Caenorhabditis elegans: one gene and its partner. The protein of the gene in region 1 purifies or fractionates together with the protein of each later gene. This does not show direct contact. Each region holds a gene or a part of one and is shown on either strand. Other genes may lie near its edges.

Region 1 (7,633 bases):
AAACTGATTTTGGAGATCGGTTTGGAGATCGCCATGAGGCAACAACTGATTGCCCATGCTGTGCATTTGCAACGACTGAATTGTTGACATAATTGCGTTGGTATTTCCATGAGGAATTCCTGAATAAAAATGCATATAAAATAAGTTTAACAATAAGTTTTAAATTTTAAATTTTAAGTTTTTTTTTTTAATTTCTTATTGCTTACCATTAAACTGCCCGGAAAACCCATTTGCCGAAAAGTCGGGCAGCAAAGATTTTTGATTACGTTGATCCATCGAATTTCATTAGTGCAGTTAGATAATCTACAAATTGGCTATTAATACGGAAACCAAACCTATAAATAAATCTAGTAAAACGCGGAAAGCAGCAAAAAAAAACGCTTTCGTTACACAATTCGAATGACCGCCATCCTATTGATTTTTCGTCCGCGAGAGGAGGTCGGCGCAAAAGAACACATCGCAGTCGGTCGCGTGTGTTTACATGTGAGTAGTGGTTAAGGATCGGAGAGTGCAGAGAAAGAGGACAAGTCGACTGGACGGACGGACTGAGTGACTGTGTAAGGGCGAATAGGCACGCGGGTGTAATTATATGAAGGGTAATGGAAGAGATAGTGGCTGTACGGACGAGGATGTTTAAAACGTAGGCCATATTGATGCTTTCCGCGATTTTTAATACAGGAGACTAATCAAAAATAGACATCACGATAACTCATAAATGCATCTTTTCAATTATTACATTGTAAGGAAAAAGTAGAAAAAGCTTAATGTATTCACTTGATTTATTTTCAGGTTTAGTTTTTCCATCCGCAACAAGAATTTTAAGGAAAAAAGAAAAATGAATGAATAGTAACTTTTCAAATAGATAATACAAAAATACTGAACCTAAAAGTTTAAAAAATGTCTTATCAGGTTTGTTTCATTTTAAGTGTGCTGTGCATATGTGTTACCAACAGGAATCGTTTTTTTTTTTGAATGCATGTTTCAAATTCAGAAATTCCGTTGTCAATTTTTATTTTATCCGTAACAGAAAATAGAGAGAGTATACAAAATTACCACATATTGATTTTAATGAAAATCACCACAGTGAAGTCTTGTTCTGTTTTCGGAATTTCGAAGAGTGGATTATTTAAAATTTTTATTGCATCCAGTTCAACATTCTGAAAAAAATTTCTTGTGTTTTTTGAAATGAATAGCGCAGTTACAAAGACGGTGGTACATCGACCTGAAAGAACAGAAAATTTGCTATTTTTTCTGGTAGGACACTTTTTTGCTACTCGCAATTAACCAGTCTAAAATAATTTCCACACGTTTTAATGGTGGTAGCAAAAAAAAAATTTCTTGGATTTTTTTTGGAGTGAATAGTGTAGTTGCAAAGACGGTGGTACATCGACTTGAAAGAACAAAAAAAATTATATTTTTTCATGTACGGCACTTTTTTGCTACTCGGAAAATTCGAATTTCAAAAAAAAATTCAATACGGAGGAAACAAAAATAGCCATATTTTCAAAATAGGTATTTTTTTGCTGCCAGTGGTTAGACGTTTAGTGGAGATACACTTTACAAAGACAATTTGTATTTTTGATTAAAAAACAGCATAGTTTGAAATCTGCAACGTGTTATATACAGGTCTTTTTCATGTTTCATTCATTCAGTTAATTCGTCTTTGTTTTGGTAATAAATAAATTACGATTTTGTTTTGATGTTACGTTATTGCAAAATTAAAAATTCTTGATTTGTCTACGAAACTATGCTGTCAGAACTCGACAAAATCTAGTTGAAACATTTTTCATTCAGTATAAATAAAATTTTGGATTTGATGTGCTTCAATAAAATGTAAAAATTGTTTTATTACAAGTTTAAAGGTTAAACAATAAGTCAATACCTGAAATTGAAAAAGACAAGACCATTGCATTAATTTTCCAGATCAGTATTATTTTGAGAATTGCTTTAAAACGTTAATGCTAAAAACCTTTATTTGTAGTTTTTAAACCGGCTAAAGTGAGAAGTCTTATACATATGTTTTCCGCGTTGTTGTACAAAAATTGATATTTTAGAAACACTTTTTGTAAAATATTGAACTACTGTTCTTGTATACATAGAGAGCTGGTCAGAAAGAAATTCCCTTTTCTGTCAATTTTGTTATTTTTTTTAATGGCCTGCGAAACAAGAAATGCTATTGAAAAAAGTTAAACTGAAAAAAATCGCTTATAAATATGTCTATTTATTTTTATAAAGTTCAATTTGTCATAAACAGCATGACTAGAAATATAGCGGCCGACATCTCGAGAGTCAAATTTTAAATTATGGTTGTTAAAACAATTGAGACCATCTGTCAAAAACAGAGCCCGGTTCAATTCATTTAATCACCTTCGGCTCAAGATAATCAAATTCATCACTATGAAATCAAAATCTTTGTAGGCTTTGAAAAAGTATGTGAATTGAAATTGTGTTAAAATATTTTGAATCAAACACAATTATTATTAAAAAACAACAAAGACTCTTCAATATCAGAATTTAATTTTTTGGTGCGATTTTAAAACAATGATAATTGCCTATTCTGTTCATCACCGTCAATTTTAATAAATCACGTTTCTGTGTTACATCCGTTTTTCAAAATACCACTTCTGAGAATGTATTGAGTTTGTTCCAATACTAGAACGACAAGTCATAATTTTCCTATTCTCAAGTACTAGCTCTCCCTTCTTCTTCAAACATTTTTTTTTCTTCGTGCGGTTTTTTCCCAATAAAGTTCTTTCCAGTTGAAACCACGGAACATCTTTTGTTTTTGTCTCGCCAGACTTGTCGTGTAAATTCAATTTAATCAGTAAAATTTGACAGCAGCTTTGAGTTTTTGAGTCTATAAAAAAGGAAAATACAAATCCGGTTAAAATGTGATTTCTTGTTTCATATGATCAAAGTTTTTCTGGATACCACATTTTCGACATCAAATCGAAAGCTCTTGCATTTTTGAATTTACTGATACTCACAAACATCGAAGAAAAATGTTCCGGTCATCCGAGACATCTCGGCATTGCATCAAAGTTCTCGAAGGGTTAGTTATTACTACAAACTTTTCACAAGATCACTCTTACCAATCGTCACTTTTATTGTCTTCTTACCCTTTTCCCTCACGTTTTTGAATAATTGAGCGTGGTTTTTTTTCCCTATTTTTCGGAGGAGTCTTTTGTTAGAAAAAAAAAGAAACCCGACTCTTCATTTTAGAGAAAACCAATACAAATTGTTGATAGATCCTGTAACATTTTAGTTTCTAGCTTTCTGTTCAAACTTCATATGAAACTATAAATTTTGAGTTTAAAACTAAGTTTTATCAAAAAACAATATATGCATAATGAGTTGAAATTTTCGATTGTTGAACTTTTTAGTATTCAATTTTTACCGTGATTGGGGGATTTATCCGCAAAACTTATTGGCTTAAATACTCTTACCAGAAGCCAAAAACTATCAACAAAAACATTTCAACCATTACAAAAAACTCCGTTATCTTTTTCACAATTCTACACATATAAATTTTTGCAAAAAATATCCATAGCACTAGCTTTGAGAAAATAACTGATTCAACTAATTCTGGGCATTCTGGACAACGAGAAAGGCTCTCTAGTGAGTGTTATATGTAGGATTATCAATATGTCAATTTCACTGCTAACTGGCTCATCATGCCAAAGTTTTAGAAATTTTTCTTGAAAATACATACACGAAAAGCATAATTTTTTATTGAGAAAAACCAATTGGTTTCAAAGCTTCTTGCATTAAAAAAGAATTGAGCCTCCAAAGCTTGTCTTTTTTCCACTAGATTTTAAGAAATTTGAATATCCGTTTTCTTTATTTTTTGCTCAAAACCAGGACAGCTATTAGCTCTGTGCATGTTTGCGTTTTCTCCGAGCGCCATGCATCTTTTTATGTTTTGAACTTGAGATTATTTCTGGTAAGCATCTTTTTTCGGACGGTTTTCCCTGCGGGCTATTTTTCTTTGCCCGATTCGCACAGAGTCTATCTTGTTTATGGCGTTTCTGAAATCCAGATTCTTGAAGAAAGGCGTAAAACCAACTAAATATTCCCCAACCCGGAAACCAAAACCATAACAATGGCTAGGATCCCAAAATCCGATGCATGTTTTTAAAGTTAAAAAAAAAAACAAGTCATTTTTAAACTATTCCATTCGCTTTTCATTATTTTACAATTTTTTCAAAAATGAACAGAATGCGTCGATCAACTGCATTTTCGGAGCACGTGACTTTTCATACCGTCATGGCCAAAAGAGGAACCGGAAGTAAATTAGATCGAGAAGTGGAAATTCAGTTTACAAATTTACAAGTAAGTTTATTTTAATTTTCTTAGCTTATTGGAAAACTCTGAAATGTTTTTTACCTGTAAGATTAAGTTAAAAAAGGTTTTAAACTAGTAGAAAAAATATTTAAAAATATTAAAAAAAAAACTAAAACTAAACAGAACAATTTTTGAAGCCCCAGAATTGTTGCCAGCAACACGTTCTGAAATATGAAAACATTCATACACTGGGAACAATATTCATTTCAGTTAATCGGAACCGGTTCCTTTGGTGCTGTTTACAAGGCTGTGCTCCGCGAGAACGACGAGCCAATTGCAATTAAGAAAATCAAAGTTGACGATCGATTCAAGGTTTATTTTCATTTTTTATTACTTCAAGATACACAAAATGACCTTAAGAAACGAAAAAAAAACCTACTGAAACATTTTTCAGTTGATAAATTTACTATCAAAAATTGAGATTTTGAATTTCTGAGCCACCAGAAATTAATTTTAAGAACTTTTTTAAAATATTCACACTTAACTTTAACTTTATTTTAGACTCATTTCCGTAGTTGTACATAATTTTTTTGTTTTATTTACAGAGTCGAGAACTTACCATCATGCACGAAATGGACCATCCCAATATTATACGACTTCTGTATTATTACGTTATGCAGGTAACTTTTTTGATTAAGCTCACAAATTTGAGCTTACAAATGATGAGAATTCCAGCAAGAAAATTGCCTAAACTTCGTGATGGAATTTATGCCAAAAGATTTGGCATATGTCCATCGTCAATTTGCTCATAATGACAAACAAATGCCAGCCTATTCTATCAAGCTTTATATGTTCCAACTACTTCGGGGAATCGGTTTTCTTCATCTCCACAATATTGTTCATCGTGATATAAAGCCAAAAAATCTGCTCGTTGATGAGTCAAATGGGATACTTAAAATTTGTGATTTTGGATCTGCAAAACGTTTGGAGAAGAATGAGCCGAACATTACGTACATTTGCTCAAGATATTATCGTGCTCCGGAACTCATATTTGGCTCAAAAAACTATGATACCTCAATAGGTATTTGTGAAGTTGGGCATTTTAAATAGAAAATTTAATTTTCAGACACATGGTCAGTTGGCACTGTAGTTGGCGAGTTACTCCACAACTCTCCAATATTCCTGGCGGACTCGGCAGTTGATATTCTAGCGCTGCAAATCAAAGTGACAAATTGCACTATAGTCCTCTAAAAAAACCTGAAATTTTCAGGCATTCGGTACTCCTTCAAAAGAAGACATGGCTAAATGGAACTACGAATATGTTCATATTCCATACGATACAATAACCGGAGTTGGAATTCAGAAAGTAACTTTTTTCCTTCAAAAAAACATTCACTCGGCATTCGAAGGCAACTTCCTGCCACACTTTGGCAACTTATTTAGTGCCACTAAAATAAGTTGCCAAAGTGTGGCAGGAAGTTGCCTCTGAATGCCGAGCAAATGGTTTTTCTCTTATTTTCCCTGAGGTGCTCGAACTCCCAGAACCTAGTTTTTCTTAGAATAAAAATTGAACTTTTACCCGTCAGTATCTTCAAAAGTGTGTACTTAATTCCCAGTGGTGTTGGGTTTTAGGTTTTATGTCAAAAATTTTAAAAACAAACAGGAAATAAATCATAGTCATAAATAGTCAAATTTTGTGACTTTCGAAATGTTAGTAGTCTAGACGAGATACTTTTGAAGAGTTGGACTAAAAAAAGAGTATTAAGCTCAAATTGGATGCTGAAAAAATTGTAGTAAATTTTGAATTTCCCGAATAACCAGGTTCAGTTAATTTTGTGTAAAATGTTGGACGGGTAACAATGTCTGAGATTCTAAATTCTAAAAAGCGGTCTTTGTGTATAAAACAAATTTAAACTTTGTTTGGTTGACAATTACGGTTGGCATTATTTTTTAAATATAAAAGCCAAGAAAAGTAACAGAAATAAATGAATATTCAAAAAAAAAAAACTCAAATCGTCGATAGGTAAATTTTGAAAAATTGAATACATTCTGAAAAGCGAACAGTTTTGTCAACTTTTAAAATCTAGCAATTAAAAGTTTTCTTTAAGTAGGCAACTTTAAGTGTACGTACACAGCGGAATTTTTTTTCCATCATTTTTCACTTTTTTTAAAAAATAATTTATTGATGAAATTTGAGATCAATTAATAAAAACGCAATTTGTCGTGAGCACCTCTGTAGGCAGGCGCTGGTTGCTTGAAAGACATTACGTTGCATGACATTTTTGTACGAACTCAGAGTAATATATACAAATCCGGATTTTCAACAATATACTCTTCTTTTCAGTTCATTGGAAGAAAACTTTCCTTATCCACCCTCGAGTTGCTCAACAGTTTGATGAAAATGGATCCGAAACTTCGTATAAAACCATACGAGGCTCTGACTCTTCCATACTTCGATGATCTGAGAGACCCCCACTACAAGCTGCCCAGCGGTGCTCCGATCCCGCCACTTTTCGATTGGCTCGAGAGAGAGTACATTGCCAACCACGAGATAATTAAGGACATTTTCCCCCGGAGTGAGGAAGGCGACAAAGTTGAGTGCTTGTGAGAAGTTAATTACTTTGTTTATTAATATTTGCCCTCTTTAATTTTTAAGCGTTTTTTTTTCAAACTTTTTGTAAGAAAGCTTTACCGCTTTTTGTATAAAAATGTAGGCAATTTTGTAGACAATGTTCATACATTTGTATATATTGATAACAATCAAGTGTATCAGAGAGAAATAAATAATAACAAAAATTGAGAGACAAATAAAGAGATGTTTGATTTCAGTTCAGATATTTTTTTGAAAACTTGAATGAAATGATGAAGATAGCTGCGATATTTGAAAAATCATATTTTAATAAATTAGGTGTGCGTGTTCTAAGTTCAAAAGTTTAAATAATTACATTTTATAAGTAGAAGAGCAAATTTTTTCAGTAGCCGCAAAAGTCATAAAAAACGAAAGAATTTAGTTTTGCCTCAAAGTCCGCAAACAGATGTTTAACTTAACAGTTTTATAGTTTTACATGTTTTTTGTTAACTTAGGCTTTTTACAGCAAATTTGATATTGTTTTTGCACTTGTTGCCCAAAATTATGGCCTAAATCAAAATTTAAAATAAACCATAAAAAATGAGAAATTATTAAATTAAAATTGTCACGAGCAGTTCGTCAAATTTTAGGCTACATCTTATTTTTATATATTTTAGACACTTCAAAATTTAAAATTCGCTACTTCAACCATTAAAAAATTTTACAATTACACACTGACAAAAAAATGATCCCTAAATTTCAAATTTAGGACTTGCTTTC
Region 2 (7,420 bases), on another chromosome or scaffold:
ACTTGCTGGACCTGGAAAACTAGACTGAAGTAATGCTCTTATTTTGGAGAGGTGGGAACCAGAAAATCCTTACAGTGGTAACAATCGAAATTTTTAACCTCATAGACTAATGCCAGATACGAAGTGTGAAAAAATATGAAAACTGAGACAATACGAAAAACCTTATTACTCACTCTAATAGCTCCAAAAAAATTTGGTACGCTATTTGAAGCTATATCTGGTGCAGTAAAATTTTTGCTCGTTTTTCCTACCATTTTCAGCCAAAAATATTGTCTATTGAATGCACCAGCTGGTCGTGGTGCAAAAAAAATCGGTGGCCGACTTTTTTTTTGTTAATTTCTCGGTCACAGCGGAAAAAACGGGGGTTATTGCAATAACTTTTATACTTTTTTGTGTTGGAAAATCTATAGAACATTCAATAAATAAATAAATATCTTGTGTGTGGAGCGGGGGATAAATTTCAGCAGAAATAATAAAAATAAATTAGAATTTTTTTTTGGTAAGACTGATTTTTTCACAATAATAATAATAATCAAAAATACATTAGAAGTGAAATTTGGGGGGAAATTCAGAATTATTTAGGGGAAAAGGCAATTTAAATCAGTTGAGAAGCGCTTGGAATACTTCATTGATGTTTGCAATCGCCATCAGATTCTTCGATTTTAGGGAGAGCTGCAAAAAAACATATAGGTCGTCAGGCTCACGCCTGCCTACCGCCTATGCCTGCCTGCCTACGGTCCTGCCTACAATTCAATTTGGGATGATTTCCGATATTTTCGCATTTAATTTAATGTTCTATCTAGTAACAGGTATGCTTGTATGCAGAAGGTAGGCACGTAGGCATATGGTAGGCATAAGGCAGGCAGGTAGGCATATCCGTTAAACCTACCGTAATCGACGTGGTCTGTGAGTTGACTTTGAGCTCTGAGAGCACATTCAAATTGTTCGTATACTTGACAGAATGATACAAAAGTTGTTGATTGTCAACTTGTCGCCGTGCCACCGTATGAATGTTGTTTTGTTGTAGTTTTGTGCAAATTGCGTCTGAAAAATGGGAAATTTCGAGAAAAAAATTAGTTTTTTATTTAAAAATTTTGTAAAATACAGATTTGTAGTTCAAAAATGGAATTTTTTTTTGTTTTTTTTTACAAAAATGTAAATTTACCGGAGAATTATTCGAAAGTTTCGAAAAATTCTAAAAACTGCAAATTCGCTTTTTTTTACATCTGTAAAATAATCTTTAATTTTTTTTTTGTAAAAATCGAAATAATGCCTCCAAAACTGGCAATTTTCTAAAAAAAAAGGCAAAAAATAAGATTTTTTGCATTTTTTTTTTGAAGTGTTTGATACTTTTTGTTTAAAAATTGAAAAATTGTGAGTTTTAATTAGAAAAAATTCCAAAAAACAATTTTTCTTTGTAAAAATCGAGATTGTGCTTCAAAAACTGGAATTTCCTGGAAATTTTTTAAAAAAGTCATTTTTGGAATTTTTTTGAAGTTTCCAATATTTTATCAGGTTTAAAAAAATTGAAAAATTGTCTGGAAAAACTTTTTTAGCGGTTTTTAATAATTTTCGTTGAAATTTCATATTTTATTAAAAAAACGGATTTATTTGAAAAAAAATTGAAAAATGTCAGTTTTCAGAGTTTTAAATTGAAATATTACTCTTATTTTTCGTTAAAAATCCAAAAATTTTCAAAAAAATTTCCTGAAAAAAACCCGCTCACCAGCATTCATATTATGCGTATTCTGTAGGGTAAACTGTTGCTCATTTTGCTCTGGAATACTCTTCCATTCCTCAAGGAATTCACGTTTTTCCATTTGTCCATCTTCTCGGAAATAGGCCAACAATGGGACTGTGGTGGCAAAGTAGAACGCGTTGATGTCGTTTTTAATGGCAACCTGAAACAAAAATTGGAGTTTTTGTGATAATTTTTGATGTATAATTTGAATTTCCGAGATTTTCAAAAAAAAAAAAATAATTTCAAATATTTTTCAATAAATTTTTCTACGGAAACGAAAATTCCGTGGAGCTTTTGAGTTTTACAGTAAAACGCTAACAAATCGAGGTGTATTTGTGCTCAAAGTGTGATTTTCAGGCGATTTTAAGCCCCAAAAGCTTGGGTTATTTGCTCCAAAATGTGAAGAAATTGGAATTTTTGTCATAAAACTGAAATTCCGAGGGCCTTTTGAGTTTTTTAAACACCAAGAAAATCGAAAAATATCTACTTTTTTAAGGTGGAGACCCCAAATTTTTCGCTGAATTCGAATATTTATGTGAAAAAAATTCAAAAAAATTCAATCACTTTCTATTTCAGCTTGAAGTCGCTACATGTGCACCCCAAGCGACTATTTTTAAATGCCGGCCAAATATATTCTCATTAGAGCGCGCTGTGTTGTGTCGATTTACGAGATTTGCACATCAACTTTTACGTTAATTGTTTAACGAGTTTCCTTCGTTTTTGCCGGTTTTTTTTTTGAACATTAGTTTTTTTTTACGTGCCAATTGAACTTTTTATTATTATTAAACTGGCAAAACGTTTTGAAAATAGGAAATTTTGCCAGTTTAGTGATAATAAACCGTTTAATTGGCACGCACGAAAAACAAATTTCCAAAAAAAAAACCGGATGTTGAAGCAAAAAACTCAAGCTTTTGGGGCTCAAAATCGCCTGAAAATCACACTTTTAGCACAAATGCACCATGTTTATGGCGGTGAGTAACACCTTTTTATCAATAAAAAGGAGGTAATGTTTGTTTAGAACACACACACACAGACACTACTACGATGGCATTAAACGTTTTGTACATCGTCCTGCCGCCTCCTCAATCCTCAATCACTCTGCTTCTTCTTCTTATGATAACAAATCACATAATACCCCATATCTATCGTTGCCTTTACTCTTCGCGGCGTCGTCCTTCGTGCACACACACACACACAAAACATTTCAGTCATCAATCGATACTGCTTGATTACTCTTCGCCACGATGGGATCCTTGTGCTCCCGAGAGGAAGACGGCAATGATACGGTTACGACGATGAACGGGCAGAATAAAAAGAAGACTAAGAAGGTAAGGCGAGTTATGCCTGTAGGCAGCCGTGCCTACGCGGAAGAATTTACGAATTGTTTCGATAGGAAACCTAGGACAAGCTAGAATTGGAAATACCTTGAAAACTAGTTTAATTAGTTATAGGCGGTTTTCCAATTATAAACGGTATTGTGTTAACCGTAATTCTCAGTAGAGACGAGATTTACCTGTAGGCAGGCGGGAAGGCATTCTTGCCTACTACGAAGCCCAGGCGTCTAGCACAAAACCATGTCTAATTGGAAGTGCCTTGAAAACTATTTTATTTAGCTTAAGGGTTTTCCAATTAGCCGTGGCGATTTTTGCCTATAGGCAGGCGGTGAAGGCATTCTTGCGTGCAGGCATAGGAGAATTTCAAGCTCTTCTAGCCACAAGCTTGAATCTCCCGGGTATCTGGCAAAGAACTATTTCTAATTGGAAATACTTTGATAACTAGTTCAATTAGTTATAGTTTCCAAGTTCTCAATAGAGATGAGTTTTGCCTGTAGGCAGGCGGTAAAGGCATTTTCGTGCCTACAATAGGCGAATTTCAAGCTCTTCTAGCCACAAACTTCGCGGGCGGGGATCTGGCTCAAAACCATTTAGAAACACCTTAAAACTATTTTATTTAGCTTAAGGGGTTTCCAATTAGTGGTGGTGATTTTTGCCTGTAGGCAGGCGGTGAAGGCATTTTCGTGCCTACACGAATGTGCAGGCTTGCCAACTTCAGGAAAACTCCAATAATTTTGCAATTATCGGGGTGTACCGAAATCACAAGAGCTTTCGAATTGGGGCTCACGAAGCATTTTCTAAACTACAAAAAACCTTCAGGAAGGCGATATAATTCACTTCTTCATGCTCGGAATCGAAGGAGCCGGCAAGACGACGATCGTCAGGCAGCTCAAATGTCTTTGCATACAGAAACCGCAGAGTTATCAGGTTTGAATTCAATTTTTTTTGAATTTAAAATTTAAAATTCAAAATTCAAAACTTGAAATCCACATTTTCAGATGTACGACGACAGCTGGAACCTGATAGATCGCGAGAAGATCTTTGACAACTATGAGCTCGAGAACTTAAAGAACGTAGTTCGAATCAATCTGCTCACTGCGGCCAACTCACTGATCCGTAAGGTTCGTGAGACAGACGAGGAGCATATGAGAAGCTCTGGAGCAGCTGCGGCGGTTCTTAGACGATGCTCACAGCTGTACGAGGCAGAAGTTGATATCTATGATATATCGAATCAAATCGAGGATGAATACGGCGCGTACATCATCGAAATATTATCTGATCCACAGATTCGCCGGTGCTTGGATCAGGGACCGCCTGTCAAAATCGAGGACGGAACACGATTCTTTTTGAAAGACGAGGGAAGAATTCGGAATATTTTCACGCATTCTTATCAGCTAACCAATGATGATATTGGTAAGTTTTCCTAGTCAGAAAGTCCCATTTCGCTTTGATCTCCGAAAAATGCGGGAGGTGAGACGCAGACATCTCATCTGATTTTTCCCGCATTTTTTGTAGATCAAACTGTATTGAGAGAGTCTGACACAACGTGAATCCAAACAACTTTCAGTCCACGTTCGTAAGCCAACAGTTTCATTCAAAAGCTACAAATTCCGAATCAAGCAGCTTCGCGTTGAAATTCACGATATGGGAGGACAAAAGAGCGAATTAGTTTGAAAAAAAGCAAATCTTTTCAGTGGAAAATGACACTTTTCAGGTAAAAATCCCACAATTCATGCGGCAATTTCTAACTACTGATGGACATTGCTTTTTGCTCTACGTTTCCTCGTTGGCCGCATTCCAGGAGCCTGATAAGGATGTGAAAGGGCGAACGGTGTTGGACAAGAGTGCAGCGATTTTCAAGGTGAGAAAAGAATGGAAAATCCGATTTTTTTGGAAAAATCTGGAAAAAATCCGATTTTTTTAGGAAAAATCTGGAAAAACCCGATTTTTTTTGGAAAAACCAGAACAAATCCCATTTTGTTGGAAAAATCTGGAAAAATCCAATTTTTTTGGAAAAATCTGGAAAAAATTCAATTTTTTCGGAAAAATCTGGAAAAATCCAATTTTTTTTGGAAAAATCTGGAAAAAATCTGGAAAAATCCGATTTTTTTTGAAAAAAATCCGATTTTTTTGGAAAAATCTGGAAAAAAATCCAATTTTTATTGGAAATTTCCGATTAATTAATCGATTTTCAGCTAGTTCTCGAAATGAACGGAGTCGACGAGTGTACGGTAATGATATTCTTCAATAAACAGGATCGATTCGAGGAGATTTGCCGAGAAATGATGCAGAAAGAAGATGGGAAGCGGCAGCTCGAGAAGGTGCTCGGAATTCCTCCAAAAGTTCAAAAAGAGGGAAAAAAGGGAAAACCGGAGAATTATGATCATTTGAAGGATGCGATTCGAAGTCGTTTCAAGGAGATTTTGAAGGAGAATAATGATAAGAAAAGTTATTATATGAAATATACTCAGGCAACTGATGCTCAATTGATGAGCACAATTTTCTATGCAGTTGAGAATGAAATTATTTCCTCGTATTTTACACAGGCTCGGTATATTTAATTATTTTTTTGTGTTTTCGTGGTTTTTTTGTGTCGAATTCGTTAAATTATTCAATAAATCAAATTCAAAATGCTTTTTTTTGTTGGTTTTTTTTAAATTTGCAATTTTTACAGGTCAGGATTAAAAAAAATACATTTTTGAATGTAAAAAAAAAACATGTTTTTTCGTTAAATTATTGATTTTTTTTCACTTTTTTTTTTTGACTCAAAACATCGATTTTCAGCTTGAAAAATAGGAAAAAACTTGGTTTTTCAAAAAAAAAAAAAGAGTTTTCTGTACATACTACAAACTACAACTTACTTGAAGATTTGTGAGTGGAGTTGTCACTTGAACTGCTCCCGTCGTGTCACAGGCGATTGTGTACTGGAAAATTAAACGAATTATTGATTTTTTTGAGGTTTTAAAGGAATTTTTATATGTTTTTTTTGGAAAATCCAAAAAATTAGAAACTTTTTGGGTTCCCAAAATTTTTTGGCATAAATTCGTGAAAAATTTTAAATTTTACAACATTTTTTTCGAATAAAATTCGAATTTATTGAGATTTTAACGTAAATTTTTCTCTTTTTTTGAGAAAGGTTTTAGTTTTGTTTTTTTTTTCAATTTTTGAAATTTTCAAACACCAAAAAAATTAATTAATTCAAAAACAGCTTATTTTATCAAAAAACCGCTGAAACTCATGTTAAAATCTAAACTAGGTCCGAAAATATTTAATTTTTTTTGAAAAAAGTTGAGAAAATCGATTTTTAGTATAAAAATTAAGAAAAAAACCCATATTTTCGAATTTTTAATTGTAAATTTCGACTTTTTCGGGGGAATTTTTTTTTCGTTAAAAAAAACTGTAAATGTTCAAAAAATCCCATTTTTCAAGAATTTTATGTTTTAAATTCAATTTTTTTTTGAAATTTGTTTAAAAATTGATTTTTAAAAGTATTTTTAGACAATTTCGAAAAATAAATTAACTCAACAATTGGCAAAAAATTGGAATTCACAGTTTAGTTTAACGAAAACCCCGCTAAATATCATGTTAAAATAAAAATTCGTTTTTTTTTTGAAAAAGTAGAAAATATCGATTTTTAGTATAAAAAATAAAGAAAAATTGGTTAAAACCCGCATTTTTAAATTTTTCACTAAAAAAATCGATTTTTTTTTAAGTCTAAAGTATCGATTTTTAGTTTAAAAATGAAGATAAATCCCATATTTTTGGATTTTTCACTGAACATTTTAATTTTTTCGGGGGAATTTTTTTTTTAAATAAAAAGCTTATCGAATTTTCACAAAAAATCGCATTTTTCGAGAATTTAAGTTTTTTGTTCGATTTTTTTTGAAATTTCATTAAAAATTAGTTTTGTAATATTTTAGACAATTTCGAAAAAAAAAAATTTCGAAGCTTTTCAACTGATAATATTCGAAAAGTCTCCATTTTTAAGCCAAAATTCAGGTTGTTTTCCAATTTTTCACACAAAATCTATCAAAATCCCGCGTACATTTTGCGATTGATTCGGCAAAATAGGTGCCGGATTGACTTGTTCCACCGGAATCAGCCCAAACGAATTCTTATTAAATTGCAGTGCAAATCCAGAAATCGCCTGCATTGCTCGATTCGTAATTGTCATTTCCATGAATATTTTTCCACCACGTCGAACAAATGTTCCTTCCACTTGCATTCCCATTGCTTTCGAAGCATCCAACCATAATTCCTTGGGGTAAGTGATTCCAGAAGATCCACCGAATCCACCAGATCCAAAAATTTCAGCGAGTCCTCCAATTGAAGCTGGCTGTTGGGA

Evidence for each region.
Region 2: the proteins of C44H4.6 (region 1) and gpa-17 fractionate together in Caenorhabditis elegans (co-fractionation; one large-scale study listed by BioGRID). This does not show direct contact.

What each region holds. Positions count from the first base shown.
Region 1 is NC_003284.9:14,595,735-14,603,367, reverse strand, and holds C44H4.6 (Protein kinase domain-containing protein), read left to right. Parts: upstream 1-4,022; 5' UTR 4,023-4,209; coding exon 4,210-4,332; intron 4,333-4,554; coding exon 4,555-4,656; intron 4,657-4,889; coding exon 4,890-4,964; intron 4,965-5,019; coding exon 5,020-5,365; intron 5,366-5,410; coding exon 5,411-5,508; intron 5,509-5,554; coding exon 5,555-5,650; intron 5,651-6,628; coding exon 6,629-6,892; 3' UTR 6,893-7,109; downstream 7,110-7,633. Other genes in the region: EOR-2, read right to left, coding at 1-119, 207-276.
Region 2 is NC_003281.10:2,583,606-2,591,025, forward strand, and holds gpa-17 (G Protein, Alpha subunit), read left to right. Parts: upstream 1-2,949; 5' UTR 2,950-2,985; coding exon 2,986-3,069; intron 3,070-3,894; coding exon 3,895-4,002; intron 4,003-4,073; coding exon 4,074-4,488; intron 4,489-4,642; coding exon 4,643-4,743; intron 4,744-4,789; coding exon 4,790-4,936; intron 4,937-5,270; coding exon 5,271-5,636; 3' UTR 5,637-5,707; downstream 5,708-7,420. Other genes in the region: apb-1 (AP complex subunit beta), read right to left, coding at 601-672, 890-1,044, 1,727-1,901, 5,937-5,999, 7,121-7,420.